Linked DNA regions of Arabidopsis thaliana. The protein of the gene in region 2 interacts with the protein of the main gene of each other region in a pairwise test. Each region holds a gene or a part of one and is shown on either strand. Other genes may lie near its edges.

Region 1 (7,265 bases), on a different chromosome or scaffold from region 2:
AGACATCTGAAGCTGTGAACAACGTCTAGCGCTATGGCCAAAAACTCCACAGATTTGGCATTTTCCTTGATAACCACGAGAAGAGGGCTGATCGTTTCTTGGCTGTTGGTATGAATTAGCACCACGATTGTTGTTGTTACGGTTTTGTCCGCGATAGTTGTTGGAGTTGTTATGCTTGTTGTTGGCTGGAGGACGATAACTTGCAGCATTTGCAGAGATCGGAAGAGACGATGCCGCAGCTTGAAGTTTCACTTCATGATTAAGTAACTTCTCGTGAATTTCAGTGAGAGAGGGAGGTACCTCACGACCTTGAATTTGGTCAATGACCTGTTTGTAGTCATCGGAGAGCCCTTCCACAATGACTTCCATCTGTTCCTCACTCTCCATCGGCTTGCCAAGGAGAGCTAGTTGATCAAATCGCATCACCAAGCCTTGGAAGAATTCATCGATGGATTTGGTGTCCTTCTTCCATTGCTTGATCTGTTGTCGTAATTGTTGGATGTGAGACCAGCTGGGTTTAGCATATGTGTCCATCAGCTTAGTCCAAATTTCAGCAGATGTTGTTGTTCGGGAGAGGATCGGTTGAACCGAGATTGAAATAGCGCCTAGTAGAGCACTGTAAATGAGTTGATCTTGCCTTTGCCAGTGCTTGAAGGCAGGATTGACCGTAACTGCACCATTTGCAGTGATGGTTGCAGGTGGGACGACAATGGAGCCGTCAATGTAGCCGGTGAGATCGTAGCCGTTGAGTAGAGCTTGAACTTGACGCCTCCACATGAGAAAGTTAGAGGACGTGAGTTTGGTAACATTAGTCATATTGACGTTGAGAAGACTGGTTGAATCAGATGTAATGACAGTCTCAGAAGCCATTGAAGAGAAAGAAAAATAATGAAAAATGATGAAAAACAGAGTAGCGGCTAGATTTAGGTTTAGGGATCGTTTAAAGCTCTGATACCATATAGTATTGAAGGCTGAATAATTCATTAGATGATATAATTACAATATATATAGTGACTACATTAGAATGAATTAGGGATTAATGATTTATTAAACTATCCTTTACTTATATACTCTACACAAACCACTCAACTTTCCCCCATATTTCACCACTTTTGCGCTTTTCAAGCGTAACCTCTGCACACCAAATCATCTTCCTAAGCGAGTGAATATTATTAGGCCACAAAACTGCCCTCTTTCCACCATAATCAGCCAATCTAATCCTTGTTTTATCAACAGGTACTGGTCCTACGTGGAACTTTCCGTCAAGACATAGAGTTTTGTAGTCAAAGCCGCCAAATGTCTCGCTGCAAGGGATTGGCTTAGGATCGCAAGTCTGTGTTTTTGTGTCGAACACCTCCATCAAGTTTTAATAGGAATTCGAATCGCCATCCTTACAGCATCCTGCTACATATATCTTTTGATCAAGTACGCTAGCAGAATTTGACTGTAGCTTCACTTGCAAGCAAGAAGCCTCGTGCCATGTGTGAGACCAGCAATTCACTTGAATTACCCGATTTACTATATTGATAAACATATTTGGTAATTGGTACTACTATATTTTTGTTTGGTTTGCTTTGTACTTTTTGGTCATTTATAGGTTTGTGCTAAGGCTCTGTTTCTCTATGTTTTTGTTTCTACGTTGAACTAAGATGACCCCAAAATCTCATGTCTTCTTGGTAACGAGGAAAATATCATACATGTACATGTCAGAAGAAACTATACACTCTCTTTTAGTCGCTTATATCCAATCAATCTACACCTCAAATATAAAAGCATATTTGCATATCATGACATCATGTTCTCTATGGAGTAAGAATCAAACTAATCTCATATGAAAACTATACACTCACTTCTCATTAGAAAGAACTACTCTTTTTGTCTCTTATACCCCAAACATGCATTATATTCAAAGCATCCTATACTAAAGCAGAGACAGTCTTCTAATGTACTTAGCTATCTCTAGCAGATTTTGACCCTGATGGATCAGTGGGTCTCTTGAAAACGTCTGCAAACCCCATGACTAAATCTTCATGACCCTCAAGAAGTGCAACGACCCGCAAAGACAACAAAGCAAATCAAACCAAAGAACTAAGAGAAAGTGTAATCCAACCAAAGTGTCCCAACCAAGAACCCTACCTCCTGGTACAAGTCATTCACGGACTTGTTTCCTTCTTGGTACATTGTCAATATCTCGAGAAACGACTCATATACATGACGATCATCCCCCTGGAACCTTTCCTGTACATCGACGGATCTGTTAGCATAGATGGAACATCAAAATGGTAAATGGTAAGGATTAGTTTTAGTATTTTAGCACTCTATACCTTAAGCTTGCCGATAAAACTCGCTACACGTTTTCTTTTGTTAATATCAGATGCAGCCCGTTGCTCAATCTTGAGATGGAGGATTCTCTGAGCCTCAGGTGGAAGGAAGGCATTCAAACGGACAAGCAGATTCTTGTGAGCTTTCAAGAGTTCCTCCACCCTTGTAATGCCACCAGCAACATCAATTAATCTACAAAGAGAATAGTATATAACAAACAGAATCACTTCACAATGTTGTATAGATTGAGACTTGAAATTAAGGGCAAACAGAATTGAAGAGGGACACAACAATACATACCTATACCTGATATCATAAAAGAGCTGGAAAAACTCGTAATACTTTGCAGGTTCATCATGAAATGCTTCCTTGACAGTGTTGATGTATGAAACCGCATCATCAATAGTAGAATCCGGTGATACGCTTGTTGCAGCAATGGTTTGAAGTTGGGCTAACCCTTCGCTAGCCTCAGCTGGAAAGAAGTCAAAGAAACGAACAAGCAGGTTCAAGTGATCTCTCATGAGTTCCCCCATACATGCAGTGATTCTAGCTCTATCGTCTCTACACAAGAGAATAAGAAACATGAGAATCAATTTCACATCTGTATTTGTTTAAGAACAAACCAGACATAACCGGGGGAAATCAAGACATACCTATGATTAAAATAATCACGTATGAGGTGGAGAATATGATTAAATTTTTCAGGTTCATCATGATATACTTCCTCCATAGAACCGAGTTATGAGTATTCATCATCCTTAGTTAACTCTAATGGTACGCTTCTTCCATCCATGGTGTGACCTAAAACCATTGTTATAATCCAAACAGGTCAGATCACATCATTTGAATCCATCTACTATCTCAAAGCTATTTCTTTAAAGTTTTTCAAGAAACAGAGCCAAGTGCAATAAATATCGATCTACTTCCTCAAGAACCCTAGATTGAGGAACGATTTGAAAGCAGAGAACCAGAAAACTCGATCGTAACCCTAATCGTCTGGTGAATTGACATATCAACTGAACGAAACAAATGATAAATCGAAAGAGGAACCAAGTATGGCTACCGATATAAGCAGAGCAAAGCAGCAATGATGAACAAGAAGAAGCTTCGTCTTCGTCTTCGCAGAGTAAGGAGTTCAAGATTTCTAGAAGCAAAGTAAAAACCTCAAGACTGCATAGAGTTTTTGTTCACGAGTCTATATTTATACTAGGGAGTATATCAATTTCGTAATTCATATAAGGTTTACTTAAATTAGAAAATATATTTGTTATTAGAATTACTTGATTCTTATTTGGTTTGCTCTGTAGTTTTTGGCTCTGTTCCTCTCTGTTTTTGTTTCTACGTTGAACTCTGTTTTTGAGTGTTTCTCCTCTCAGTTTCTATTAAAAGATGACCCCAAAGATAACCAGAAAATATTAAGTGAAAAAAACATTTGATATCAAAGAAAGCTCTACAAATACACTTTCTTTTAGTCTCTTACACAGCAATTCATTGAACATAGAAGCATAGCATATTTGTGAATGTCATGTTAATCAAACCTAAACTCAAATGTTTTCGTCTCTTAAGGTATATAGTCTTCCAGTACTGTCCTTAGCTATCTCTAGACTCTATGGATCACTGAAAATTTCTGAAAGCTCCATGAGTAAATCTTCATGACCCTGAATAAGTGCACGGACCTGCAAAAGGTAACAAGCAAATCAAACCAAAGAACTAAGAAAGTGCAACACACAACACAAAGTGTCCCACAAAGAACCATACCTCCTGAGACGCCTCATCTTTGGACTTGTTTCCCTCACTGTGCATTCTCAATATCTGGAGAACTGAGTCAACTACTTGACTACCATCGCCCAGAAACCTTGCCTGCACATCCACAATTTTGTTACTTAAATCACAAGTTAACATATAAGAAACATCCAGTAACTATAAGCATTTAAGCACTCTATTACCTTAAGCTTCGTGATAAACCTCCTTGTAGGTGAAAGGAAGACACAGAAACCAAGAAGCAGATTCAAGTGATCTTTCAAGAGTTCCTCCATCCTTGCAATGACACTAGCGGCATTGATTCTACAAAGAGACTTAGTAATATCAGAATCAATTCACATGTGTGTTTGTTGTGTAAATTGAGAAAATCAAACATAACATGGAGAAAACAATTCATACCTACGAGCTTTAAGATCAGTCAAGAGCTTAGTAATTTCCATATATTTTGCAGGTTCATCATGAAATGCTTCCTTCACAGCATTGAGGTAAGAAGTCGCATCATCCATGGTAGGCACCGCCACCGCCGGTGGTACGCTTCTTCCAACCACCTTATTGATGTGAAACTCTGCGCTAGCCTCGGGAGGGATGGCTGTCTGCAACCTAAAAGGAAGTAAGACATTTGAACCATGACACAGATTCGCGTGATCTCTCAGGAGTTCCTGCAAGCTTGCACTCAAAGTTTCGAAACCGAATCTATAAAGAGAAAAATAACATCAGAATCAATTCTCACATGTGTCTTTGTTCTCTAAACTGTTGAAGAGCAAACCAAAACATACCTATTAGCAGTATAATCAATAAAGATTCTTACAAACTCTTGATATTTTTCAGGTTCAGTATCCTGCAATGCGACCTTCACAGCATCGAAGTATGCCATCCCATCTTCGAAATTGAACTCTGGTGATTTGCTTTTTCCAACCATGGTGTCAAATTAGCCTAATCCATAAGTCAAAGATAAAGATTATTGTTCATCGAAACAGATCAGATTATTCATTGAAACCCTTCGTGTATCTCGAATCTATCTCGAGAAACTTAATCTACAGCAACAACTAAATCAGTTCGTCGTGATTCATGCAAAGTTCATCTTCTAGAATACAGATTCATGTAAATTTCATCCAACAAGATCCTTAAGAACATCTAGAATCAGTCTCGATAGAAAGAAAACAACAAGACGTGCCGATCAAGAAACTAGAAAAGAATCATATACGAGATCAAGACATTCGATCGTTAACCTAATCGTCACGTCACATGATTTCACATTTCACATGAACGAAAAAGGAATTGAAACGAAGAAGAAGAAGAAGAAAACTACCTAACGAGCAAGCTTCGTCTTCGCAAGTGGGAGAGGCTTCAAGATTCCCAGAAACAAACGCACTCTGTTTTGAGTTCTTTTTTTCTCTCACCAAAACCTCAGAGACTGATTTGAGTTTTATTCACGAGTCTATATTTATAGTAGGGGATTATCATATTGACTTCATTTCTTTTTGTTGTTGTAAAACTGTAATTTGTAAAATTTGTGAATCTGAAATTTTAAAAGCTTTCTTCAATATGATAATAAAATATTTTATCAATTCGTAATTTATACAATAATTTAGAAAACATATTTGTTGTCATTAGATTTACTAAAATTTCTTTGGTTTGCTCTGTATTTACTCAAGTAATTCTTGTTTGGTTTGCTCTGTTCCTCTCTGTTATTGTTTCAACGTTGAACTCTGATTTTGAGTGTTTCTCCTCTCAGTTTCTATTAAAAGATGACCCCAAAGATAACCAGAAAATATTAAGTGAAAAAAACATTTTGATATTAAAGAAAGCTCTACAAAAGAAACTATACACTATCTTTTAGTATCTTATACACCAATTCATTGAGCATAGAAGCATAGCATATTTGTGAATGTCATGTTAATCAAAGCTAAACTCAAATGTTTACAAAGAAAACTAAAAACACTCTCTTCTCATTAGAAGCTCTACTCATATTTTTGTCTCTGAAGGTATAAACAGTCTTCCGGTACCGTCCTTGCCTATCTCTAGACTCTATGGATCACTGAAAATAATTTTTATAAGCTCCATGACTAAATCTTCATGATCCTGAACAAGTGGAACGACCTGCAAACGATAACAAAGCAAATCAAACCAGAGAACTAAGAAAGCAAAACACAAAGTGACTCAACCAAGAACCATACCTCCTGGAACGCCTCACTTTTGGACTTGTTTCCCTCACTGTACATTCTCAATATCTGAAGAACAGAGTCAGCTACATGACTACCATCGCCCTGAAACTTTGCCTGCACACGAAACCATTTTGTTACTTAAGCCGCAAGTTAACAAATTGGAAACATCAAAATGGTTTTCTTCAGGCTTAGTATACCAAATTTAGCAGTCTATACCTTAAGCTTCCTGATAAACTTCATTTCAGCTGAAAGGAAGACACTGAAACCATTAAGCAGAGTCTGGTGATCTTTCATGAGTTCTTCCACACTTGCAATGAAACTAGCAGCATCGACTCTACAAAGAGACTTAGTAACATTAGAATCAATTCACATGCGTGTTTGTTGGTTAGACTGAGTAAATCGAACATAACATGAAGAAAACAACTCATACCTACGAGCTTCAATATCATTCAAGAGCTTAAGAAGTTCCTCATATTTTGCAGGTTCATCATGAAATGCTCTCTTCACAGAGTTGAGGTATGAAGTCGCATCCTCGATAGTTGTCTCCGGTGGTACGCTTCTTCCAACCACGTTTTGAAATCCAGCTGGTGTGATGGGTATCTGAAACCTAGCTGGAAGTAAGGCATTAAAACCAAGAAGCAGATCCAAGTGATCTTTAATGAGCTCCACCAGCCCTACAAAGAAAGTAGCTTTATCGATTCTACAAAGAAAATAATAACATCAGAATCAATTCTCACATAGTCACATGTGCGTGCTCTATATACTTTTAAACATACCTACGAGCTCGACGATCACGCAAGAGGCTTAGAAACTGTCGATATTTTGCAGGTTCATCACGAAATCTGTCCCTCACAGCAATGATGTATGCAAAAGCTTTATTCATAGTTACCTCCGGTGATAAGCTTCTTCCAACCACGGTGTGAAATTAACTTTAGAATCCTTCAAAAAAACAGAACCACAACAACAAGATGGAGAACTTAGTTCGTCTAGGTATAAGAAACTCAAAATCTTTGCAGA
Region 2 (7,723 bases):
GATCCCGATATATATTGATATTAATTAGTAGAAATTGTGGTTCCTCTAAAGTAAGGCAGAGCACTTATCTTCCAAACAAGAAAGGGACAAGTAAATAACGTATGATTTGTTGGATAAGTTTGAGGAGAGTAATTTGAGGCGTAAGTTACTAAAGAAGAGAAAAGGAAATTGAACTTTATTATTTTTGGAGATATCTAGAATATATTATTGGAGTTATCTTATGATATTAAGAATTATCTAATCATTAGGGTAAGGTTAAAGCTTTGTTATATAAGGAGGTATCAATGTTGTGATACAACTTATGAGATTTGAGAGAGATTGAGACTTTAGGTTTTGAGAGAGTTTCTAAAGATAATAAAAGAGAGTTATTATTTTATACTTGTGTTCTTAATCTTTCTTGAATACTAAATGATTAACTATATTTTCTTCCAAATAGAGTCTCCAAAAACTCTCTTAGTCCATAATTTTTCCACCTTGCACAATGAAAGGGATCCATATATTGATATAGAGTAGGTCTTGGTCATCACACTTTTCTAGAGTACCAATTTTTTTTCTTCTTCAAACCTCTTTTCCTTTGATTATCCTGCTGAAAAGAACTTCAATGTTCACCAGAGTACCAATTTTTTTTTATAATATAATTTAACATTACATTAAAAAAAAATGTTTACCGGAGAAGTCTATCTTCAGTATCTCGCTCCTTTTCTAAGATCACATATAACATATTGAGTTGTGGACGACCTAATTCAAAACCGACATTCTCTTCGTTATTTCTTTGTTGTTTCTTCGACTATGTACATTGTTTTCATTATGATTCGAGCATTAGAGATTTTTGAAAAGATAATTTTATTTCTTTTTTAGCATATATATATGTAATTAATCGTGGTGTGGACATTGTGGGTGTTTAGCTGTTTACTTCCCAAAATCGGATGTTTTTGTCAAAGCTATTATTGAACCAACGAACATATAATGTCCTCCTCGACGACAGGCATCTTCGTACACACACAACTATACAAAGGACTAAAATTAACCGGCAACATATATAAATATTAGATGCAAAATATTATTAACTGATACCTTTTTTAACAATGAAATGAAATATACGAGTTCAATTAAATTCAAGTGGTGGTGATACAACAACAACACTAACATAAACAATTATTTACGCGTTTAAAGTTAGTCAAAACATGTAACATAACATCTTAATTTATAATGAGCAAAAAACTCTCTCCATTCAATATAATAAATCATCCGAAAAAATAATATCTTACTTTGATATGTAAATGAAGGGTCTATAACGGTCATATCCCACTAACAAAGAACGATTGAGCTGCGTTACGTGATTTTACCGGCAACTCCAAAAATCTGCAAATTCATACCTCCGAAAAATTAGAAATTTAGTAATTTAAGAATCCATTGGACCATCCTTCACTGGACCTTCAAAACTGTCGGAGAATGTCGTTTTCGGCTTAGTCATTTTCAGCTATGGGGCTTGTGGCCCAAGATTAGAGACGCTTTGCTCTATATATGTAACCAATAATAAAATCCTATTTCATATTTGGTGAGGCTTAACTTATATATATATAAGTCATGTCTTCAGGCAAGTGTAAGTAGGACATGTTTTGGGGCCAAACTGATGAAGATAAATTGAAGGGCTCATCAGGTTGGTTACATTATATATGCATGGTCTGCATGGTACCATGTGTGCTTGTCTAACTTTGTTTTTCTTTGATTTATTTATGGAACTGTGTCACTTTTGGTTCACTATCTGACACTTTTTCTTCTTGATGGATACAAACAAATATTTCTTTCCTCGAATAAATCATGGTTACTGATGAAAAAAAAAGAAAGATATGACAATCACAGACCCTTGTTTAATTCAAATATGTAAGATATGTTTAAGTTTAAACCGGTTTAGGGTTAATTCTAGAGCTAAACAAGCTCAATATCGTGGTTAAGCAGCTTGTTAAGGGAGAGTGTGTGTGTTCTCATTTTTGGGAGTACTTTATTAAAACAATTACCTTCTCTGTTTCAAGAGCCAAGATTGAGCTCGATAGATGATGATGATTTTTTTTTTTATTCAATTCTCTTGTAACTCTCAAAGATCATAGTGAGTGTTCATTTATAGTTTGCTTCGGTTTCTACTTACGATCTTGGCTTGTTCTTGATCTGATTGGTTTGTCGATTAGCTAGTCGAGAGAAGTTCTTGGTTATTTGGTGAATACTGTTTCGACCATTTGTCGAAAACACGCGTGAAGTGATGATAGCAACATCTATGACAAGTTTTGTCTTTTAATGTTTTCTTACATATGGAGCAATGTGATGCCCTTCTAATAATCTCTAACAAAGAGAACCCCATTGGATGCTTTATTAGTTTATTTAACGTTACATGTATTTTGGTATATACTACCAAAGAATTGTATTTGATATTGTGTTTAATTTTTCTTCTAGTACTCTTTTGCTTTTAGTGTCACAATCATCCTACACAGCAACTGTCTTCATAGTTTATTTCTATCTGTTTTGTTCTGTTTAAATGTCTTATTAGCAACTTTTAAACAAATAGAATGATTGTTCTAACTTTTAGGTAACCTAACTTTGAATTATAATATTAATTCCTTTTTCTTGTGACTCTGAAATCAAATCTTCCCACAGATCTCAATATTCACTTTTCTTCTCTTTTTTCCTTTACTCTATACTTTATACGGTTGTTGGATGTCTACTTGAAATCCATTAATGTATAGTTAATAGTTTACAAATCTCAGACTAAAGTAGATATGTGAAAAAGATGTACATTAGATTATCTTTACTAGAAAAAAATATACACAAAATAGTACTAACAATCACATGAAAAAACAGTAAAAAGACACTAAATTCAAGAATCAAGAAAAAGAATCTCAAAGCTTGAGGGACAAGTCAAGTTTCTGCTGCTCTTCATGATGACTTGTACTTAACAACAATCCTTTGTCTCCGTGCCATTGTTCAAGAGTCGGTGACCCTTCTAGAACCCGTCCTGTGTTGCTTGGGCTATCGATGTTATTGGACCGTGAATTTACTGAAGGAGCCATCATCATCATCTGATGATGATGATGATGAAAATTATCCATTGAGGGAAATTTACCTATGGCTGGTTGTTGATCAAATGGAAGTCTTGACCAGTTGATCTGACCATAGTGACCACCAAACCCGTTATAAGAACTTAGCTTGTGGCTTATCGAATGCGCTTGGATCCCTAAAGACCTATGGTTGTTGTACTGTCCGTGGAAAGGAAGTGGAGAGAAACCGTAAGGATGTCCAAAAGCTGAGGCTGACGCTGCCATACGTTGTCCTCTCTTCGCCAACGTTCTCTCTCTCTTGTGTGCGTTTTGGTGACCACCAAGTGCTTGTGAGCTATAGAAAGTTCTTTGACAATAGTTGCATGAGAAAAGCTTTTGTTCTGTGGATGTTGTAGATTCGTTAACGATACTCGTTGTGTCGTCTATGCAGTCGATGAGATTGAGTTCGTGACTAGAATTATGAACGTCTCTTTCTTCGTCTTCGATGCTCTGGTTTAGAGAATCTTGATATGGAAAAGCAGTGGATGAGGAAACTATTGAAGCGTCCATGAGAGCTAAAAAGGGATAGATTTTTTCAGGAGATGATTTTTTTCTTTCTCTTTCTCTGTCTCTTTCTATCAATAATAGCTATGAGAAGAGGTTTATATCAGTGAATGGGAGCAGAAGTAGATGGTATTAGAAAGGAATAGACAAAGGAAACAAAGACCCTACACTAGAACATTTTCTTAGGGTTTTGTAATAAGTGGACCAAAGTACTATGATGAGAGCGATAGGTAGGTTTGGTTTGCTGTCACACCCTTCTCACAAAACACTTTAAAGCTAGTTGATTGGAACTCCACCATCTAAATACCTCTATCTATATATATGACTCTTACCCTTTTTGGCTGCTTCCTCCTTCAATAGTCCAACAAATACATTAAGTGTGTAGAATTTAAATTTCGCTTTGATTCCGGTTCAGATTTATTTGGGTTTCTAGATTTTCAGTTTATGAATGACCAAATATCTAAGTAAACCAAATGAGTACTATACCATTGGTAATCCACAATCCATAATAATTTTTTTTTTGTAGTGCATGTTAAGGAATCCTTTAATATTTTAAGTATGAACATTTTCTAAAAGAAGTTAAGGGATCGAAAAGACAATGGAAAACGAAGCAGTTTCTCAAAATAGTAAGTACATCATGATGAAATGACAGAAGAGAAAGATGACAATAAAAATTGAAAAGGAAGAGTACTGTTCATGGACCATCCAAATTTGTTCAGGTCTGTTTATGTCTACTTTTGTATAACTCCACGAGGTAAGTGACCATTTCTGTCTCCTTTGGCTTCTCGTGTGGTCCTCTCCTTCATCTATTCTTTCTTTTGTCTTCTATTGAGTCAAACCAAAGCTCAAACTAATCACAAAGTAAAAGAACTGGTTATTCGAACTTTGTAATAATAGTTAAGTAAGTATTTCGGGTAAGAATATAGATCGATGATCTTGACAAAGCACCTGGTTAGAACAACTTGGAAACCACTCGTACGTTCATTATTATATTTATCGATTTTACTTTGTATCTTAGTGAGAAATTGTAGACCATGTATATGACTTAAAGAATATTTCGTCTTTATGATGGATCAACCTTTCTCTTGTTGTGTAATCTTAAAGGAAATGATATTTGAAACTTCCACACGCTCTTCTACTTTATCATCTAAAGAGTTTAGTGGATTTGTCAATATGAATTTTGGTTTCCCACTTAATTTCACATCATGACATACAACTAGGTTGCATGACAAAAGTCACTTTCTTCAACCAATTAATACTTTTCTTTTGGAAGCCACATCGGCAAGATCAAACCCACTTAAGCTTTTGATAACAATCTAAACCACATTTCCAAAGTTTTAGTTTAAATTTATTTAGCTAAATTTGAATTACTTTAGCTTGTAATGAAAGAGAAAAGATCTAATGGTTTAAAGTTATGTATATTTGTCGTATGCCAATTGTGACCTAGTTGATGGGTCCAACGTTACATATGGCCGACACAAAAATGGGAAAAAGCTAATTAAGAGTTTTCAGTTTCTAATTAATGGCTAATTATTTTCATAAGAAAACTAATTTTCCTTTAATAAATGTATATGTGAAGTTCTTTCTGAGTTATATGACATCTCCATTTAAGTATACCTTCGTTCTTTGTTTCATCAATCCTCAATACTCAATAGATTGATCATAAAATGTTAGATTAGTGAGTAATGTGAAATCGTGAATTGGGAAATTAAAGTGTATTATGGACTATGGTAGCTTAATGAGTATAACAATTTACCACGTTGTATTTATATGATATAGGTCACATAGTCATCAATCATAGTCAAAAGATACAGATGAGAACATTGGATCTTACTTTAAACAGATGGTGACATGTAGCTATTCATAATTTTCCCTGTATGTAGAGAGATTTGATTCGTCTTTCAAATCTCTTTGTTTGACAAAGCTTTTGTGTATTTTTTAATCTGTCAATGCTATCGGTAAGTAATTAAGTATCATATAGTAAAAGTATTAACCACTAACCGGGTTCATCTAAGTGTTTTTGGGCCTTATTATAATCTAATAGTTAACATGATTAGCTAAATTTATTCAATTCAATAAAAGTTTTCAAAGTGAACGAAAGTTACAAATCTGCAGTGATTATTTTCTAAAAGTGGAATAATTTTATTGGTAAAAAATTACTAAAAACTAATTAACCCAAAATTGACATATTATCAATTGCAGACATAACATTCATCCACTATGGGTTTACTTACCACGTGGAGTTATGCACACTAGTAACCTCTTTGGAATTTTATCCAAAAAAAAAAAAACTCATTGGAATTATTTGATGGCAGATTTATTTCGATGAGAAATGATTGATTGTTTTTAACTGTGGTGTAGCAGTGAATCTGTCATTTGAATTGATATATAGTTTACTTGTTGTTGGTTTCCCACATAAGGTTGTGTATTACATCATTACTAGATCATAACCCGTGCTGTATAGCACGGACATTAATATTGTGTATAAACTAAATTGTATACTTTATTTGAATTACATAAGAAATAGTATAATATAAAAGTGTTGTCATAATATTTTTCAATGTTTTTACTATTTGGATATAATGCTGCATTGGATTGAATTTGTTTAAAAATATTATTTTTATAATAAATACAACATATATAATTTTAAGTAAATGTGTAAAATTTGTATACAAGTTGTTCTAGTAAGAAACATGTTTCCTTTGTATTAAAAGATCTAATTTTTGGCCTAACTTAAAATTAGTTTTTGTATAATGTTTTGGTTATATTTGTGAACCTAATTGGGCCCTATATTAGATTATCTTTGATAGGGCTCACGAAAAAACAGACCCGATAACCAATCCATTATCCGAACCAAAAAACCGGGTTAGAGCGGGTTAGAATTTTAGGAAATTTCCTTATTAGGTAGAGTTTTAGTAAACCCGTGGATATCCGATTGGTCCAGAAATTACCCTTTATCCAAAGAGGGTATTCAAAAACCCAAACATTAATTTAATATCCAAAATATTAATTATATTTAATCGTAATATAATCTAATTATCTAAAATTATAATTATAAATCTAAATATGTCAATTAATTTTGGACCTAAATATCCAAAACAACTAAACTATTCAAAAATTATGTGTTATGTTTGTCAAAATTTAGTAAAATATATTCAAATATAATTAAATTTATTAAAACTTAACAAATCTAAAAGTTTTTTTTGTTTGGAGACCCACTATCTACATACAAAATACCCGTTTCAATTTTTTTGGGTATTTTTAGGGCCTGAAACTTTTTATCCAAACTGACGCAAACCCAAATGGACCCGACCCGAACCAGAACCAAATATTTAGAATTATTCTATTGGGTAGTAAATCATATACCCATTAATCCCAAACCCGAACGGGTTCTACCCGAACGGGTTCTACCCGAACTTGAATAGGTTACTCATATGCCCAGCCCCATTCTCTGATTTAATTATCTAAAAACTCCCAAAAAAACATATGTTTTGCTGTCTACGTTTTATTCGAAAAGTTTTACATCCTCTTCTGCCAAAATCATTTCATGGGACATCCTAAAACCCTTGGAAGAATGATTCCATGAATGAAGAAATCCTAATTTGAATATACCAAGAGGTCTTGAAAGGTTTTAAGTTTTTGATAGGTGTGTATGTGAGAAGGTACAAACATCGTGATGGTAATTTGCTTATTTATAATTTTAACTTGCAGTATACCGCATGTAAGCTTATATTTTAGTTAAACTAAAAACTTTTATTGTAAAGATGATTATAAATATACGATATTATTTTATTTGATTTTAAATGTATAATAAACTACGAGTTGTATATGTTTTGTTGATATTATTTATATTGTTTAGTGTTTAAAATTATACACTTGTATTTTGATTGTTAATTTTAGAGTTTCACCTGTAGTATACCATCTTGTATTAATATCGATCTAAACCCGTCAATTCTAGGATTTTCCAGCTTGTATTAAAAATTGAATCACATCATACACATAAAAAAATCTAATATGTTATTAATTATTGTAGTATATAAGATTATAAATTTTCAAAACAATATATATGAAATTGAATATAAATATTCATATTATGACCCAGTACTCAGTAGAAAGTTTTCTTAAATCTA
Region 3 (9,081 bases), about 17 Mb from region 2:
AACAAGTCTTGCTTCAATTCAATCCAAAGGCTTACTACTACTCCTTCTCTCTTCACTTACCAGAAGCCCTACTTCAACAACAACAACAACATCGACTCTGTTATTGAGAAACCCGATCCAGTTTCTTTTACTAATCCTTTGATTACACTCTCCGGGAATGAATCCAATCAACCTATGCGGTTTTACCCTAGTTTCTCCATGGGGTTATGCTTGAATCCCAAAATGATTCAAGGTCTGGATCTAGCTGAAACAGCGTCGTTGGAGGAGGAGGAAGAGGATACGAAGGAGATTGTGATTTACGCTGATAGTGTGAAGAAGAAGAGGAAGAAGAAGATGAACAAGCACAAGTATAGGAAACTCAGGAAACAGCTTGGTCGCAAGTCATAGATTTTTTTTACTATTCCGGTGAGAAGTTTGCTCCTTTCATGTCTTCTGAATTACTGGGATTCAAAGGATGAACCTTTTTTATTGAATCAGAACAAAAAATTTCTAAATTCCATTGCATTGTCATTAGTCTGTGTTCATCGTTTGTCTTGACAACACATTTCTAATAAAACGTTTGCTCAATTCACACACTGGTGCAGTATGTCTTTATGATTTTGAATTCTATAGGATTTGCCAATTTGCTGTCTTGAGTTTTCTTGCTAGTTGGATGCTCCAAGTTTGTTTCTTTCCTCTATGCACTAAGCTAGCATGAATTCTTCATTTCATTATCAGTTCTTAGTGATTGTATAAACGTTATCAGTGTGTACTTTTCATGTGTCATTTGCTTGGAGACCCGCTAAGGGTATTTAACCTGGTTTGATTGTAGAGTTAGGTGTCGCAATGAGATTACTTCTTTAAGCTTTAACTGGTGTACTCTGGATCACATGGAACCTTAGATGATATCTTAGGGTAAAGTTCCATTGTTATCCAGGTACTGATTCACAATCGCTTTTAGAAATTCAATGTTTATTGCAGTTGATGCGGATGGTTGGTATCTTCAGATTGTTATCAACTTCTATGTCTTGAGTTAGTCAGTTAGATGAAGAGGATACTGATGTTCTATTTAGTTGTAAAGCTAGAAATGGTTGTAACAATTATCAAAGCTCAAAAATGCAGAATTTGCAGACATAGTTAGTGTGAGTCATACTAGTCTCTCTGTGTTGGCATTCAAAGACTTGCACTATAAACTTGTAGTAATCTACATCAGAAGAGTGACATTAATCTTTTCCAAGTTTGATTACTAGTATTAATAGATTTTATTATCATTCTTCTCTGCTTCAATAGCGTTGTTGTTCCAAGTTCCAACTCTTGAGTTTTAATTGCATTGGTTTTGGACATTCTTGTTTTTTTGTGATTCGTTCATTTGCTAAGGCTGTGTACCTTAGAGAATAATGGGTTATGATCTTGAATCTACTAGCAACTGTTCGTTGCTTTTGGATCATATCAGTTCTTTTTCTTTCTCAATGAAACAGAGCATTTCTTCTGATTTTTAGACCAAGATGATGGTGTTTATGTAGCTTAAAGGATTTATATGATTAGTTCATGTGTGACAACGTTAGTGATTCATGTCTACTAACATTCACACCCGATTACTCTGTTTTTTTCTTTTCTATTGCATTGCATATCTTAGTTGAATTTAATATATCAAATAATGGGAAAAAATCTACATTTGCTATAAATATCTCTTTATTGGTACTAAGTACTAACAAAGTAATAATACAACAAAATGTCGAGAAACGTCAGAAGATCAGAGATAAATATCTTATTCAGTGCTAACACCTAAAACTGAATGTTAAAGTTAGAGCTATGAATCTCTTTCATTCCTTAACCACAAGAACCGATACACTGTTTACACAAGAGAGCCTCTAGAACATCTCTAGGTCATATAATTCTCAATCACAGGAACACATCGTCGCTCACAAGTCAAAATATCAAACAATGCATAATTAATCGTATCACTCCCATGACTCTTTACCTCCACGGAACCTGCAGGATGCTTCCAAGTCTTTGCTTACTCCAGCTCATCCAAGTCTTTGGTTAAATCTTTAGTCACCACTCACTTATTCTGTGTCATTACTCCTGATAAGAATCTTTTTTGTCGTTCGTATGTAAACATTCTTTTCTTTAATTCATACGTGGTCGAATCTTTAGTCACCTCTATCGTCATGATAAGAATCATTGTTGTCGTTAGTATTAAAACATCGGTGACTGCATTGCTCCACTACTCAGAAAGCTTTACGGGTTGATATTGTCATCTTCTTTTTTGTTTTTTTTCTTCAAAATATGTAAAAATAACAATTTAGAATAAGTTTCATGTTGAAACTTTAGTGAATGAACTTGCTCGAGTTGTTTAACCTTTTTATGTCAAAACTCGTGTTATAACATGAAAATATTCATTTCCATTTCAAAAGAACAATTCTTGTATTTGATTTTTTTTTTATTAAGTGCATTCATCTGGTAGTTAAGAAGTATGAACTGAAATGTAAGAGTAATTGACATCCGACACGAAACCACATTGCGTGGTTCATCTGTCCCCCACGCGTCTTTCCTTTTTCCAGTCGAACCCAAGTATGAATGAAGAATTTAATAAAAATATCTCTGTTTTAACTAATTATAAGCACATGTTTTTTTCTAATAATTTGCCTTGTTTGCTTTTGAATCCTCAATCATGATCAACCTTCCACTATACCAGTGACTAAGACCGGTTGGTCAATTTTGATCTCCAATATTGAATTTCTATTATTTCCATCAAAATTCTCCTTTGTATCATGCATGGTTGAAGCTATTGTGATTGATTAGACCGATCCAACTTGAATCTCATTTAGATTTTTTGTGATTCATATGCAACCAGGTCTAGTCATATAATTTGGCATGACCAATCAACTACAAAGAGAATAATTATTTTGTTTCCATCTTGTCACATTACTTTAGATTCAGTAATCCTTTTGCGTTTGACGTTAGCTAGTTTAAACCGGATCAATCTGTATACTTTTTGCCACAAAGTCTCCAAAAACCCTAATACCATTTTATAACCAATAATACATTTCTATATAATTCGACCGACCAAACAAAACGACAGATTCAAAGGGTTACTCATTGACAAGTTTAACCCAATCAACCAGTCCGAGAGACAAATAACAAACAAATAAACCTTCCGACTCAAGTAATTAATGGCTTCTAACAATCGCTCACTATATAATCTAATAAAAACACATATATTGTATATTCACATTAACTTGTTCCGGATTCTGATCAAATCTTCTGCTTCTTCTTTAAATAACACTTCACTTTTTTTCTTCTTTGATTGAGACAACGAAGACATGGCTTTAGCAGACGCTACTCTTCTCACCAGAACCTTCCACTTCGTGTCCTCAACCATTTTCTTGTCCTTTTCACCTCTATTCTTATATTGCCTACTCCAATCACCAAAACAAATAAAAAGTTGACAACGAGATCAGATTCTCATTTCTTAAAATATCTTTTAATAATTCTACCAAACAAAATATTTCCAGCCGTCCGATCACGACTCATCATCTAATAAGTAGGCTACCACCACAAAAAGATAATTATTATTGGCGCCGAAAGTTAAAAAAAAATCAAATGAGATCTACTATCGAAAAGTGAAAAACTTTTATCATTAGAAACATTTAAAATGTGGTTTTGATTATTCTAAAATGTCGGATTTTTACCTGCAAAGAGGGACACGGCAAGATTCAGATTGGTCACAAATCGAAGAATGGAGTCTAAGGAGTTGAATCATTCTCTTGCATCGGACACAACCTTTGCCATCGACTCTTTTCTTGCATACTGCAAAGTGACGTATAAGAAGTTGAAGTCCGTAACAAGTCGAAAACGCACTGCATGGACCGGGTTTTGCTTGACATGTTGACTTGTTGTCTAAGTTAGACGATGGTCCGACCAGTGTGCAACCTTCGGTGCATATGTGTTCTATACATTCCATGGCTTCACTCAGCTGCAAATACAGATTCTGTTCTCGTCTGTGTCTCCTTCTTCTTTTCTTCCTCTGCAAGAAATTGACCCAAAAGAAACCTAATTCAATAAAACAGAGTTTTCTTGAAGAACCAAAAAAAAAGAAAACAAAAAAGTGTGGTTTGAGTTAATTACCGATTCTGCATCGTCGATGAATTGGAGAATGTCAAGTTCAAGAAAAGGATCGTGTTCTTGAAGAAACTTCCATCCTTCTGTCTGTTCAACGGTCTTGAACTTGTAGTGAATGAATCGCATACACTTGAGACAGAGGTCAGGTGCGTCGCAGAGACGAGCCAGCTGGAGAATATCGACAACGTTTTCGGCGGTTACTCTCTCACCGACGCCTTTAGTGCACCGTTGCTTTAACTGAGTCACCATATACACGTGTGATAAAGCCAGTAGATGGATTCCGTATTTTTCCATCTCATTCTCCGTGACACTAAACAAAAGATACATATAGGGGTATTCTAGTCATTTTGCATACTAAGGGTAAAATTTGCCGTTGATTTATTCAAATTTGATGTTGGTACTAGTTTCGTGTTCCTTGTGTTGTGTTTCACACGTTTTTGAATATGAAACAAGTCTAAATCAATCGCAATCTGGTTGTAGTGATTTTAATGTATGATTAAAACGTTGGAAAAGTCGAGTTTGGTAAAGATCTTTAAGATGATGTATTTAATCAAGCATTCTTTTTAGTATGATTTGTATTTTTGAAGTAATAAATCTACGGATTAAAAAAAAAAATCTGACGATCAAGAAGATATGAAAAAGAGAGAAAGACGAACCTCGGAGAATAGAGGAATCTGACGAAGACTGAAACGGCGTCGCATGGAACACCGAGAATCTTAATAACTTTCTTCGATGATCCGCCGTGAATCTTCCTCGGCTTCTCGATGATGTTCGTCAGTACCGGTGAGACCGAAGCCTGCATTTAACAATTTTAAACAAACAAAAAAGATAAGCACCAAAATAAAAAAATATTCGATCATACAAAGAAAGTAAGAAGAAAAGAAACTTACGAGGATGCCGGAGTGTGCCGGAATACTACGACGACCGGAGGTGATGATCTCAACATCAGTTTCCACAAGATCATACGAAATCTTATTGGCGTTTAGTGAAACGCCGTCGTTTTGAGTGGCGGTTATAGCCATCGTTTTAAGTTTTCAGAGAGAAAGAGAAAGAGAGAGTGTTGGTAAATTTTGTTGTTGGAGGCTGGAGGGTTTTAATTTGATGATGGAGAAGCTTGAGGGCATTGCTTCTCTGGATTTTATAGACACAGCTCAACGAAGTCTGGTCCTTTTTGATTACTTGTTAATAACACGTGGCATTTTTTTATGATAAATATCTTGTTTTTGTTTCTGTTTTACCCTACGCGCCTTTGTAGATGCGTGTATGTCAATTAATCTCTGTTTTTTTGGTAACCAGAATAATTGGAAATAAAAGTAGTGAACTGTATATTCAGGAGTTTTGGGGTCTCAGATCTGTATTTCTCTGAGATAAGTTATGATTCATTGATAAATAATTTGCGGTTGTCTTTAACACCAACCCAAATGCAAGTAATTGGCTATGGTTTTTCCGTTTTGATAAATAGATAATCGTATATATAGACACTAAGACACAGATACAATTAGTTGTATCTTAATCTATACACAGATAACACCCAGTATTTGAGTCTACTTTAAAAGCATATAGTTACATGTTGTTATAAATTTTTATAAACTAAAATGAAACAGAACTTCTTGCTTACAAAATTTGAAGCAGAAAAACTGAAAATATACTACTGTTTGACAGAAAAAAAGAACTAACAAATGTGAACAAACCCAACAACAAAAAGCCTATGTGTACTTATCTCATTTATGTTTATATTGGACTAATAAATATACAAAGCACAATTTAAAAAAAAAAAAATCTCCAGAAGATAAGTTCAATTTTATTTTCCTAGTTTGAATAGTTTGAAAATTTAAGTCTGCATATCATTTTTGGACCCGAATGACATATTTTATTTAATTAGATAAATATATTTTCTCCATTCAGAGCTCATATCATATGTTAAAATCTATGATCAGTTACATTCATCTTACTACGCTTAGATATGTATAAAGGATTTGGTGATGCAGCTTATTATAAACTTCCCTAGGACTAATATGCCTCAAACATTGTCAAATAGCCGCAGTGCCCCCTAACACAACATATTCTATAATACATTGTATAACAAAAGTATTTTCTTATTCCCAACCTGATATACCAACAGGATCTAACCTATAGATCATTACAATATATTATGTTTTTAAATGGACCTTTCGATACACCAATGTCGACTATATTTTATTCCCAACATTACACACATATATTAATACTTTCCACTGAAAGTATCTAGAAATAATATTGCCTTTGGCCCTTTGTAATGTTTGGGATGACAATAAAACAAGTAATGTATTTTACTTTTGGTACCATGTAGGATGTTTGTCCCCATGATTCATGAAGTCACGAATGTTTATCTTTTTTTATTGATCCTACGTGGGAAAAGTGATAAAACCGGTCAAGAAATTTGCCTTTGTGATGTAGAAAAAGTGCTGATAGTAGTATTATTCTAAGTTTGAGAAAGGGTGGTTATTGAAGTAAACCGACCCTTGCCTCTTCCCAAGAGCCCACCTCCTCGTCTACGTGGCTTGTTGATCCTCATCCACTCTCAAGCCCTCTTGTCTATCCACTTGTCATTCTCTCATTTATCCATTTCTGCCACTGGCCTTTGTTAATTGTGGTTTAAGAATGCCTGAACATCATAGGATGTTGAAGAACTTATCGAAGAATGAAATAAATTTCGCCGCATATATTACACGTGGCAAATCTGGTAGTCTAGGCCAATATGGCAGTCAAGCTTAACCATTAACATCATGACACGTGTCAAATAAGAGCTTTATGTTGCGCATCAAGCTCTTAAACGAAGTACTTAAACGAATTCAGAATCAGTTCCAAGAAATTTCAATATCCGTGTTGACATTTAACAACTAGTGTAGACATCTCATAAGGCCATATAACTATTCTAAGTTTCTAACTATTGGAAAATTAATGTGTTAAGGTTTCAGAGTAGTAGTTTATGTACACTTTTTAGTTTTATAACATTTTATTATAAGATGTCGGGGGTGTTTTCCTTTCATTAACTCTACAAGTATATGTATATTCGATATATTAATCATGTTGTTGTTATAACTTTAAGTATTCACAAATGGCTCTTTAAGAAAACGAAACATCAAAATCCAAAACTTGTGGATAAGTTTCGACGGAAGAGAAAAGTGAAAAGTGTTAATAAACTAATGGATTTGATGATTTCATGTAAGATTCTTCCCAACACATTTAAGGGTTTAGAAATTAAAATATTACTGAACACTTTCTATTCTAAAATTGTTTGTATTCCACTTGAACTCTGAAGCACTGGAGATTGATGTGCATGTTTATACTCCGATCTTATCCTTTGAGTTTGGACTTTGGATATATATTGCCCATTTATATAATGCAAGTAGCCAAGTATGAAGTATCATGAATCAGCGATGTACTTATAAAAACTGAAAACAGTAGATTTTTAATGTTTTTAATTGTGTGTATAGTCTAGTTGGAGAAAGATGTATATTAGTGTATATTTCCATATACATTCTCCAATAAATAATTTTTATGGTTTGACATAAAAGTCTAACACGAAAAAATAACATGCTCAACACATTCAGTTTAAATATCTAGTTTTTTTATTATTATTATTGTTCATCAAATATGTTACCAAGATTAAAATTTTAATTTTTACAATAAATGGTTGACTAACTCAAAAATCGGGATGACCGTTGACCTGACCAGCTTCCCATGGTCTTCGGAGCCAACCCTAACCACACGTTGACGAGGCGCTGACTCGGAATATTTAGAAACTTATCTTCTTCATTTTTTTTCCTTCTAAACATTTATGCTAATTGCCTAATTGGAAATAAGTTTGTATTTTCTATTTGGAACACAACAAAGTAAATAAATTAAAGTAGAACAAAATAAAACAGATCTTTGTGCGGCTCACAAATTCTCAATGTGGCGTGGCGGGTAGTTTTGTTTGGTGCTAGTCTAGCCTTTTAAAATAATCTTTGAACTTGGTCAAACTATAAACAAATTTGTGGGCTTCATGTTGATTTTATAGAAGCTGTGTGCAGTTTCTAAGTAAGCTCAGAAACAATTGGGTCTAAAACCTTTCAAAAGGGCCCAAAAATAGAAGAAAAGATTTAAGGGCAGTACGACCTGGAAACAACGATTGTGTATGTACATGGAGGCACTATATATTGAGGTGTTTTAATATATAAATAGTTAAGATGTATTCATTGATAAGATAATCATAAGCAACATGTTACACTTACAAGAATAATATATCTTTTATATACACATAAATAGAATAATCGTCGAATAGACAAAGACACCCAAATCAAGCGAAGCTTTGTTGAATTTGTTGGATAATCGGAGGAATAATTGTCTGATAAGCTTTCTCCGATGGATGTGCAATGTCCCAAAACACATAACGAGACGCATCCAAGCACGGTATGGGAGCCGCCGGAGCACAACAACAAGGTCTAGTTGGCGAGATAAATCCTTAAAAAAAACCAAAAATATGATCATGAAAAATTGATTCACAAGAATTGAAAATTTTATAGCAGTAAAGATTTTGGTGATTTAGACTTTACCTGATCTTAGAGGGTTTTTGACAAGTTCGAGGAGAGGATTATACATGTCGACGTATATCGAACGAGAACCTGGGAGCATCGAGTTGAGGTTGTTGACTTCATCCGCTAACTTCCTATTAAAGAGTCTAGCCACTGCGTTTGCGGGTTCTAGACATAAACCTCCAAGAGCATTGCTTGCTCCCGGCAAGCAACCCAATGGTAATGTTCCCATAATCGCGAATTTTCTTGCTCCCAAATTATATAATTCCTATATCAATATTGTTTTGTCCATAATGGAATTTAAAATTTTAAGTCAGAGTATGTAACTTTGGAATTAACTTTGAAAAGTATTATACCTTTATGAATGATTGAGTCCATGAAACCATCAAGTCAGTGTATGAAAAGATAGTGTATCGAGTGT
Region 4 (8,130 bases), on a different chromosome or scaffold from region 2:
AACTAATTAAGCCCAACAAAATAAATAAACCATCATCCTTATATGTAACACTGTAACATGGGAAAAAAAAACAATTTTTTGCCCAAATGTATAAGAAATTTGTATAACAAAATTCATACTAGATTTTCTTGTTGTAATTCTTGGTATACAAAATGAAAGGTTTCTTTGTTGTAAAACAAAAATATATGTACTAAAAGTAATTTTACAAAGTCGCTTTATATTTTTACATTTAGAAAGATCATTTGATCAAGTGGGAAACCTTTATTGAAATTAACAAAGTGGAAAAGATTGTAAGTAGTGAAATTTAGTGTCATCTATAGACAAAAAAAATGTAAATTAGAATTTAGGAATATGAATTCGGTTAGGATTAGTCGATTAGGTTTATTGAGTAAACTCAATAAAAATTACTGTAGTAATACTTCAGTACTCGGTTCGGTTTATAGTTACCGAACTGAAACCAAACGATTATTCTAATTTAATTGAAGTTACCAATTTTTATCTTAAGTTTAATTAAAATTATTGAAAAATATGAACTCTCTCTTACAGTAAACCGACCTGAAATTGGTTTTTGGTTCCAATTTGACACCAATATTTTATCTTGAACCAAATCGAAATTTATGCTATTAAAATTGAACCGAGCCGAACTTTACTTTCGGTCTACTTCGGTTCAAGAAATTTCAATCCAATACATATGAATTCTGAAAGTCCTGAACCGAACCAGAGTGTTTAACCACAATAAAAGTCTCTTCAATGGTCTCTTCTTGAGTATATCAATGGTCTCTCATAGTTTCAACAACACCAATAAACTGTCATCTTCAAGTTGGAGTTTATTACACTCGTTCCTTCAAGAAACTGTACCGTCGACTTTCAGATTTAGCCATTTAGGACTTCTCAAGATTTTGAAAATGGCGCATCAACATTTCTTCAAGCCTCTTCTTCCTGGCTTCCACGCCTCCTTGGTACTCTCTTTCTCGCTCTTTCCCTTCTTCTATCTCTGTCTATGTCTCTCTGAGAAGCTAAAGATGAGTCTGGTTTTGTATTTGCATGTTGCTTCAGACAATTCCTGTAGCCTTCTTCTTGAAGTATATAGAAGGAAGATATGAGCAGAAGACGGCGAAGCTGAGATCAGACGCGTCAAAGAGAACTTGGGAAGTGAAGATAGATGGCCAGAGACTCACCGACGGTTGGAAAGAGTTTGCTGTCTCACATGATCTTCGAATCGGTGACATTGTTGTTTTCAGACAAGAGAGTGACTTGGCTTTCCATGTAACACTGTTGGGACCTAGTTGTTGTGGGATTCAATATGGTTCGTGTTCAGTCGAAAAGAACAACCTCGGTGACGGTGAGTTGTGTTCTGTCTCTGGCTCTTCAAGAAACGTGGTTTGCTTTTGGAATGTGGATCAGTGAGTAGAGATAACCAGTTTGACTATATAACACTTATTTTTCAGAGAAAAAGAAAGTGAAGGAGAATCCAAATGGAGAAGCAGAGTCTTCTTCACGAGATCCCTCTTGTTTTGTGGCTAATGTTGCGCCTTCGAGTCTACGTTATGACTTGATGGTATTTGACTCTTAAGAACCCGAAAAGAAACTCTCATTCTAGGGTCTGAACTCATGTTGTATTCTAATGAATTTTTCAGAGATTTCCAAGGGGTTTTGTGAGGGATAATGGTGTAGTCGGATCTGGAGAGATTGTTCTGATGAATGAAAAGGGCAGATCATGGAATTTTAACTTGAGACAAAAGCCATCAAACGGAACAGTTTATGTTAGAGGAGGGTGGGTGAGTTTTTGTGATGCCAATGGGCTTAAAGCTGGAGATAACTACACTTTCAAACTGATCAAAAGAGCAGGAACTCTTGTTCTACGTTTGTTACCCAATGAGCCAAAAGAGGAAGCTAATGAAGTGTCTCTTCCCGAAGAACCGGAAAGCGATGCAGAGCGCAACCTTGGTGAGTTCTGTTCTTTCTTTCTCTAACTCTGCCCATGATACTTGACATTCAAGAAACGTGCTCATATGGATTTTATTTCTTTCTTTTTTTCAGAAAAGATTCAAAGGAAGGAGAAAGTGAAGAAGAATGTAACAAGAGAGGCAGAGTCTTCTTCACAAGATCCCTCTTGTTTTGTGGCTAATGTCTCCCCTTCGAGTCTACGCTATGACACACTGGTATTCTACTCTTACTTTTGAATCCCAAAAGAAACTCTCATTCTAGTGTCTGAAACTTATGTTGTATTGTTCCAGTATCTTCCAAAGCGTTTTATGAGGGAAAATGGTGTAGACAAAAGATGTGGAGAGATGATTCTGATTAATGAAAAGGGAAAATCATGGACTTTAGATTTGAAAGTAAAGAAATCATCCGGAACTTCTCTCATCAAACGAGGATGGAGAAGTTTCTGTAGTGCCAATGGACTAAGAGCTGGAAGTATCATAACTCTCAAACTGATAAAGAAAAGAGCAACTCTTGTTCTACGTTTGATCCCCAACGAGCCAGAAGAAGCTAATGAAGTAGTCTCTCTTTCGACAGAGCAAGAAAGCGATGAAGAGAGTATCCACGACGAGAAAATCTCAAGAAGAAAGTCTTTACTATCCGAAAACCGATTTGTGACATTAACTCTAACACCTTATACAATCCAAAGTTCTCTACTGGTACGTTTCATCATTCCAAGCCATTGTCTTTTAACAGTCTATAGAATGAGAATCTTTTGTGTGAATCTATGTTTCAGCGTCTTCCGGTTCCTTTCACGAGGATGAATGGTATCAATGAAGAAACTAAAATGACTCTGTTGGATAAACATGGTGTGAAGTGGTTAACGACTCTGCGGTTCGAGGACGACAAAAGAAAAAGACTACGAATGGTAGGAGGATGGCAAGGATTCATCCAAGCTAACGATGTGAAGGCAAACGAATCCATCATGTTGGAACTGATTTGGGAAGAAGAAACAAGTTGCGTCCTTAAGTTCTGCTCCAAGGTGAAGCTAGAAATCAAATGAAACTCTATATTGAAATGAATCAATGTTTGACTCTTTTATTTGGTAAGATATAACTCTTAAGGTTTCATTGTCTTAGAGAGTAAGAACAAAAACCATTTTTCTTTTAATCTTCTACATTGTTAATATCTTGGATAATATTACAAGACACACACACACTCTTACTTATACTACTTCACTACACTCTTAGGCACACACACAAGCATGCCTTAAAGCACATTATTAACCCTAGACTCTAGACTCTTGCACAAGCCACTCTACTACATTGGCTCTTGTGGATACTTGAGTAAAAAGTGGAATATCTTACAAACACTTGCCCAAGTAGAAGAAAGACAGGATCCAAAGATAAATACACTGAACAGACTAGAGCTTATGACTTACTAAGAACCTAAACAACACCAAATGCTACAAGGGCATATTGGTTTCATCTAACTATCATTAGCTGCCTCTGCAAGCTTGGCGGAAAATCTAAGCTTCTTGATATTGAATCTTGTTTCCTCAACACATAACGCTTTCCATTCATCACTCAACTCTCTTCTTTTACCATTTCCAAGGTTCATCAGCTTCTCAAGCTGCAACTTCTTTTGATAACCACTTAAACCTTGCGACATCACCGCCTCAAATGCATCCTGCACCGCGCATAACTCATCATCATCATCATTGTCCTCATCATGTCTCTCTTTTCCACTACTAGTCCCATTCTCTGTTGTTTTGGCTGCCCCATTCTCATTTAAAAGTTCAGTATTAGCCACTTCCTCCTCGTGCTCCTTCAACATCTCCTCCCCGCTCTCGTTAGTCCGGTTTTCCGCTGCACCATTTCCGTTTACCTCGTGCTCCTTATCCATACCATCATCATCACCTTGTCCCCAAATCATCGAAGAAAACCCAAAGGCTTCAGAATCACTAGACCTAGTAAATTTGGGATCATTCCCTTGATTGATTTTCTCCGAGTGAACATGAAACCTCCTTTTCAACTTCCTGATTTTACTCAAAACCTGATCCTTGGAGAATCTCTCAACGATAGAACTTCCGAGGAAACTACAAAACGCATCCCAATCAATTTTGGGATTGAATCCTGTCTTAGCTCTGTAATCAACTAACCCCTGAGCAATTTCGAAAATCTGGTTTTAGAAAATCACAATGCAAAACCAAATCAAACTATAAATGGAGAAGATCAATACAATACCTTTAAGATAGAGAGCTCATCTTCCTCGTTCCAGATCCGGACGATCAACGGCGGATCCAATTTCTTCTTCTTCTTCTTCATCTTCATCTTCTTCTTCATAGTCTCTTCTTCTGCGACGGAAGCAGCACGCTTTGAGGAAGGAATATTCCGTGGAGATCTTCGATGGGAGAGGGTACCGTTGGAGTTATCAGCACCAACACAGGAAGAGAAATCGATCTGCTTCGGAGTCACCATGCTTATTGCTTGCTTTAGACTTGCTGATTCTAGGGCGCATGCAGAGCAGTGATTCCCAATCTTCACGACCTTTAAAAAGTGAAACCCGAGAGAAAAAGAAAAGCAAAATAGGATGAGTAACACTTGGCCATACTTTTCTCAACATTCATAACAAAACAAACACTTTCATCTTTTTTTCTACTGTTTAATATTCATCAATAGTACAATTTTGCTCTTGCAAAAATCTATCATTTTAGTCACTTAATAGTATAAAATATTTTATCTACCTTTTTTATATAATAAATTAAAATTTAGTTTTTTCTACATTTTAAGATTCATTGCTGATATATTTTAAGTAAATAATTATATTATATATTATCCATTTCTGATTGAATATTTTTTTATTATTAAATAGATATTAAAAGGTATTTGAACAAAACATATTACACGATAAATTAATAAATTTTGTCGGTCTCAAATCGGGGTAATGTAAAAATTAACCAAAATCGATAAGATAATAAGATAATATTTTTTTTGAAATCCCTATGTAAAAATATGGTACCAGTAATATCATAAAATTAATAATCATAAATCTTTAGCATACATTCAAAGACTAATTTTATATGAAACTTTTGTTCAAGTCATAATTGCAACTCTTTCTAGAGTATAGTTGGTGTGATCTCTTTTGTATTCACATAACTCTTTGCGTATTTGATCCGTCATATTTGGTTTTGTAACTTTTTTTATATGAAAAATCATTGTTAAGATTTGTGTAATAAAAAATTGGATTAAGTCTCACGTTAACGTCGTATACATGCACAATATCTTACAGAGAAAAAATAAAAAAAGTAATAAAAAAAAATCTAACAGAATATACAAACAATAAAACATAAAGAAAAACTAAATTAAAATTTTTCTTTTTAAAAAATTAATATTGTATTTTACGTATAAATTTTTATAAATTAATAAATGTACTACTATCATAGTAACACCTACAAACTGATATGCATATATACACAAATGAGAGTTAACACTATATATATATCGATTGTACCTTGTGTAGTGGAACACTTTATTGTTGTAAATACATAATCCTCAACTATTAGTGTCTATGTATGTCAAACAAATGAAACAATGAAAGCAATCCAAATTAAATGAACAGATTACAATGTAAAATGCCTTCATCCATCTCCGCCATTAGCATGATAGGAACTTGTACTCGATTTCGAGATCCAAGGAATATTACAAAAGGAACGTAACCGTGCTTCTTTATGATCTTCACCACCTCAAGAAGGACCTCTTGTTATATTGTATAGCTCCTCTTTTCCCTGAGACAAATGACCACAATTCTAATGTAAAAAGATCACATCAAGCGACACAATACTCCATCGGTCAAAGATCATTCTTTTAGCCAAAACTTCATTGATTAAGGCTTTGAATGGGAGGGAAGCAGAAAAAATACATGTTTACCTTTGCATATAGTGCTCCTATTATCAAGACATTATTTCTGTATTTTCCTTTTTGTTTTAATATTTAGAGTTAAGATTTCTGTTATTTAAAAACAGTTGATCTATGCATGCAGTCCTTCTCTTACCAAGACATCATTCATGTATTTTTATTTTTGTTTTAACATAACATTTTTGTTATTTAAAATCAGTTGACATGTGCATGTAGTGCTTATGTTACCAATACATCATTTATGTATTTTTATTTCATATTTTATTATTTAAAATCAGTGTATCTTTCTATGTATTCCTCCTATTACCAAGACACTATTCATGTATTATCATTTTTATTTTAATATTTATTTTAAGATTTTGTTATTTAAAATCAGTTGACATGTTTATGTAGTGTTCCTGTTACCAAGACACCATTTATGTATTTTATTTTTTATTTAATATTTATAACTAAGATTTATGTTATTTAAACAACAGTTGACTTGTGCATGAAGTACTCCTATTACCAAAATATTATTCATGTATTTTCATTTTTTATTTAATATCTATATTTAAAAATTTTGTTATTTTAAAATTAGTTGATATATGTGCATATAGTGCTCCTGTTACCAAAATATAATTTTTGTATTTTTTTTTGTTTTAAGAGATTAAAGATTTTTGTTATTTAAAATCAGTTGACTTGCCTATGTAGTGCTCTTGATACCAAGTCACCATTCATGTATTTTATTTTTTATTTTAATATTTATAATTAAGATTTATGTTTTTAAAACAATAGTTGACTCGTGCATGTAGTCCTCTTATTACCAAAACAACATTCATGTATTTTCATTTAATATATAATTAAGATTTATGTTAGTTAAACAATAGTTGACTCATGCATGTAGTCCTCTTATTACCAAAACATCATTCATGTATTTTTATTTTTTATTTAATATCTATATTTAAAATTTTTGTTATTTAAAATCAGTTGATATATGTGCATATAGTGGTCCATTTACCAAAATATCATTTTTGTATTTTTTTGTTTTAAGATTTATATTTAAAATTTTTGTTATTTAAAATCAGTTGACTTGCCTATGTAGTGCTCCTGATACCAAGACACCATTCATGTATTTATTTTTTATTTTAATATTTATAATTAAGATTTATGTTATTTAAACAATAGTTGACTCGTGCATGTAGTCCTCTTATTACCAAAACAACATTCATGTATTTTCATTTAATATCTATATTTAAGATTTATGTTATTTAAACAACAGTTGACTCGTGCATGTAGTCCTCCTATTACCAAAACATCATTTATGTATTTTCATTTTTCATTTAATATCTATAGTTAAGATTTATGTTAATTAAACAACAGTTGACTCATGCATGTAATCCTCCTATTACCAAAACATCATTCATTTATTTTTATTTTTTATTTAATATCTATATTTAAAATTTTGGTTATTTAAAATCAGTTGATATATGTGCATATAATGCTCATGTTATCAAAATATCATTTTTGTATTTTTTTTTTGTTTTAAGATTTATATTTAAGATTTTTGTTATTTAAAATCAGTTGAGTTGTCTCTGTAGTGCTCCTAATACCAAGACACCATTCATGTATTTATTTTTTCTTTTAATATTTATAATTAAGATTTATGTTAAAGAACGGTTGACTCGTGCATGTAGTCTTCTACTTGACATTCACACCTGAAACATTCAAACTCTAAATACTTATAGAAGAGGACCATAACCATTTTGTTGATACAACATTGCATCAATTTAATCTCCATCCTTCAGCTCCAATTGACAAAACACATTGAAAAAAACACCATCGATGAATATGGCTTATCTTAATATATTATAAAAATCTTTAAGCTTGAATGATAATACATATACCTCATCAGGTGTATGATATTCTCGAATTCAAAATAGAAAGCGAAATGTGTTCCACTCTACACCTCTCATTTTGGTGTAAAGTCCCATCAATTTAAGAAGCTTCGCCTTTCTTCTCACCTTTATATTAAGTCATGCATGCTAATGTAGATGAAGCTTGTGGACGCTAAGAAATGTGAGTTGTTGTTGGAGAAGATGGATGTTTTGAAGGAGGTGACTTCGGTGCTTGCTCAAACCAACTAAGAAGAAGAAGAGGAAGCTATTGGATTGTATTATAGGTTTATCGGTTTTTAATCTCGGGTTTAAATGGAGATGTAATGCCTTCTTTTGTTATCTAACTTAGGATTCGTCTCTCTGTCTACGTTAATGAACTTTTAGGACTTTGGATTCTCGTGTGAGAATTAGCTAAG

Evidence for each region.
Region 1: the proteins of ZFP3 (region 2) and AT1G27280 interact in a two-hybrid assay, tested with the Arabidopsis thaliana proteins (one large-scale study listed by BioGRID).
Region 3: the proteins of ZFP3 (region 2) and BT1 interact in a two-hybrid assay, tested with the Arabidopsis thaliana proteins (one large-scale study listed by BioGRID).
Region 4: the proteins of ZFP3 (region 2) and AT4G00270 interact in a two-hybrid assay, tested with the Arabidopsis thaliana proteins (one large-scale study listed by BioGRID).

What each region holds. Positions count from the first base shown.
Region 1 is NC_003070.9:9,469,814-9,477,078, reverse strand, and holds AT1G27280 (Paired amphipathic helix (PAH2) superfamily protein), read right to left. Parts: upstream 3,053-7,265; coding exon 2,976-3,052; intron 2,884-2,975; coding exon 2,623-2,883; intron 2,515-2,622; coding exon 2,325-2,514; intron 2,239-2,324; coding exon 2,089-2,238; downstream 1-2,088. Other genes in the region: AT1G27270 (Paired amphipathic helix (PAH2) superfamily protein), read right to left, coding at 3,930-3,998, 4,081-4,182, 4,269-4,386, 4,483-4,776, 4,860-5,002; AT1G27260 (Paired amphipathic helix (PAH2) superfamily protein), read right to left, coding at 6,112-6,183, 6,261-6,362, 6,465-6,582, 6,679-6,948, 7,025-7,131.
Region 2 is NC_003076.8:8,683,400-8,691,122, reverse strand, and holds ZFP3 (zinc finger protein 3), read right to left. Parts: upstream 3,936-7,723; 5' UTR 3,600-3,935; coding exon 2,892-3,599; 3' UTR 2,708-2,891; downstream 1-2,707. UniProt on the Arabidopsis thaliana protein: Acts as a negative regulator of abscisic acid (ABA) signaling during germination and early seedling development. Involved in the regulation of vegetative development and fertility. Modulates red light signaling in seedling photomorphogenesis.
Region 3 is NC_003076.8:25,330,274-25,339,354, forward strand, and holds BT1 (BTB and TAZ domain protein 1), read right to left. Parts: upstream 5,298-9,081; 5' UTR 5,127-5,297; coding exon 4,995-5,126; intron 4,901-4,994; coding exon 4,761-4,900; exon of another isoform or gene 4,432-4,760; coding exon of another isoform or gene 4,415-4,431; coding exon 4,111-4,414; intron 4,010-4,110; coding exon 3,675-4,009; coding exon of another isoform or gene 3,671-3,674; exon of another isoform or gene 3,399-3,670; coding exon 3,212-3,398; 3' UTR 2,899-3,211; downstream 1-2,898. Other genes in the region: AT5G63150 (uncharacterized protein), read left to right, coding at 1-387; AT5G63170 (GDSL-like Lipase/Acylhydrolase superfamily protein), read right to left, coding at 8,426-8,589, 8,682-8,928, 9,017-9,081. UniProt on the Arabidopsis thaliana protein: May act as a substrate-specific adapter of an E3 ubiquitin-protein ligase complex (CUL3-RBX1-BTB) which mediates the ubiquitination and subsequent proteasomal degradation of target proteins. Also targeted for degradation by the 26S proteasome pathway.
Region 4 is NC_003075.7:114,066-122,195, forward strand, and holds AT4G00270 (DNA-binding storekeeper protein-related transcriptional regulator), read right to left. Parts: upstream 4,579-8,130; 5' UTR 4,404-4,578; coding exon 4,170-4,403; intron 4,087-4,169; coding exon 3,412-4,086; 3' UTR 3,020-3,411; downstream 1-3,019. Other genes in the region: MEE45 (Transcriptional factor B3 family protein), read left to right, coding at 906-959, 1,057-1,342, 1,449-1,558, 1,638-1,947, 2,041-2,162, 2,238-2,642, 2,687-2,986. UniProt on the Arabidopsis thaliana protein: DNA-binding protein, which specifically recognizes the GL1 enhancer sequence. May be involved in leaf initiation. May play redundant roles with GPL1 and GPL2 in cytokinin responses by regulating the transcript levels of type-A ARR response genes.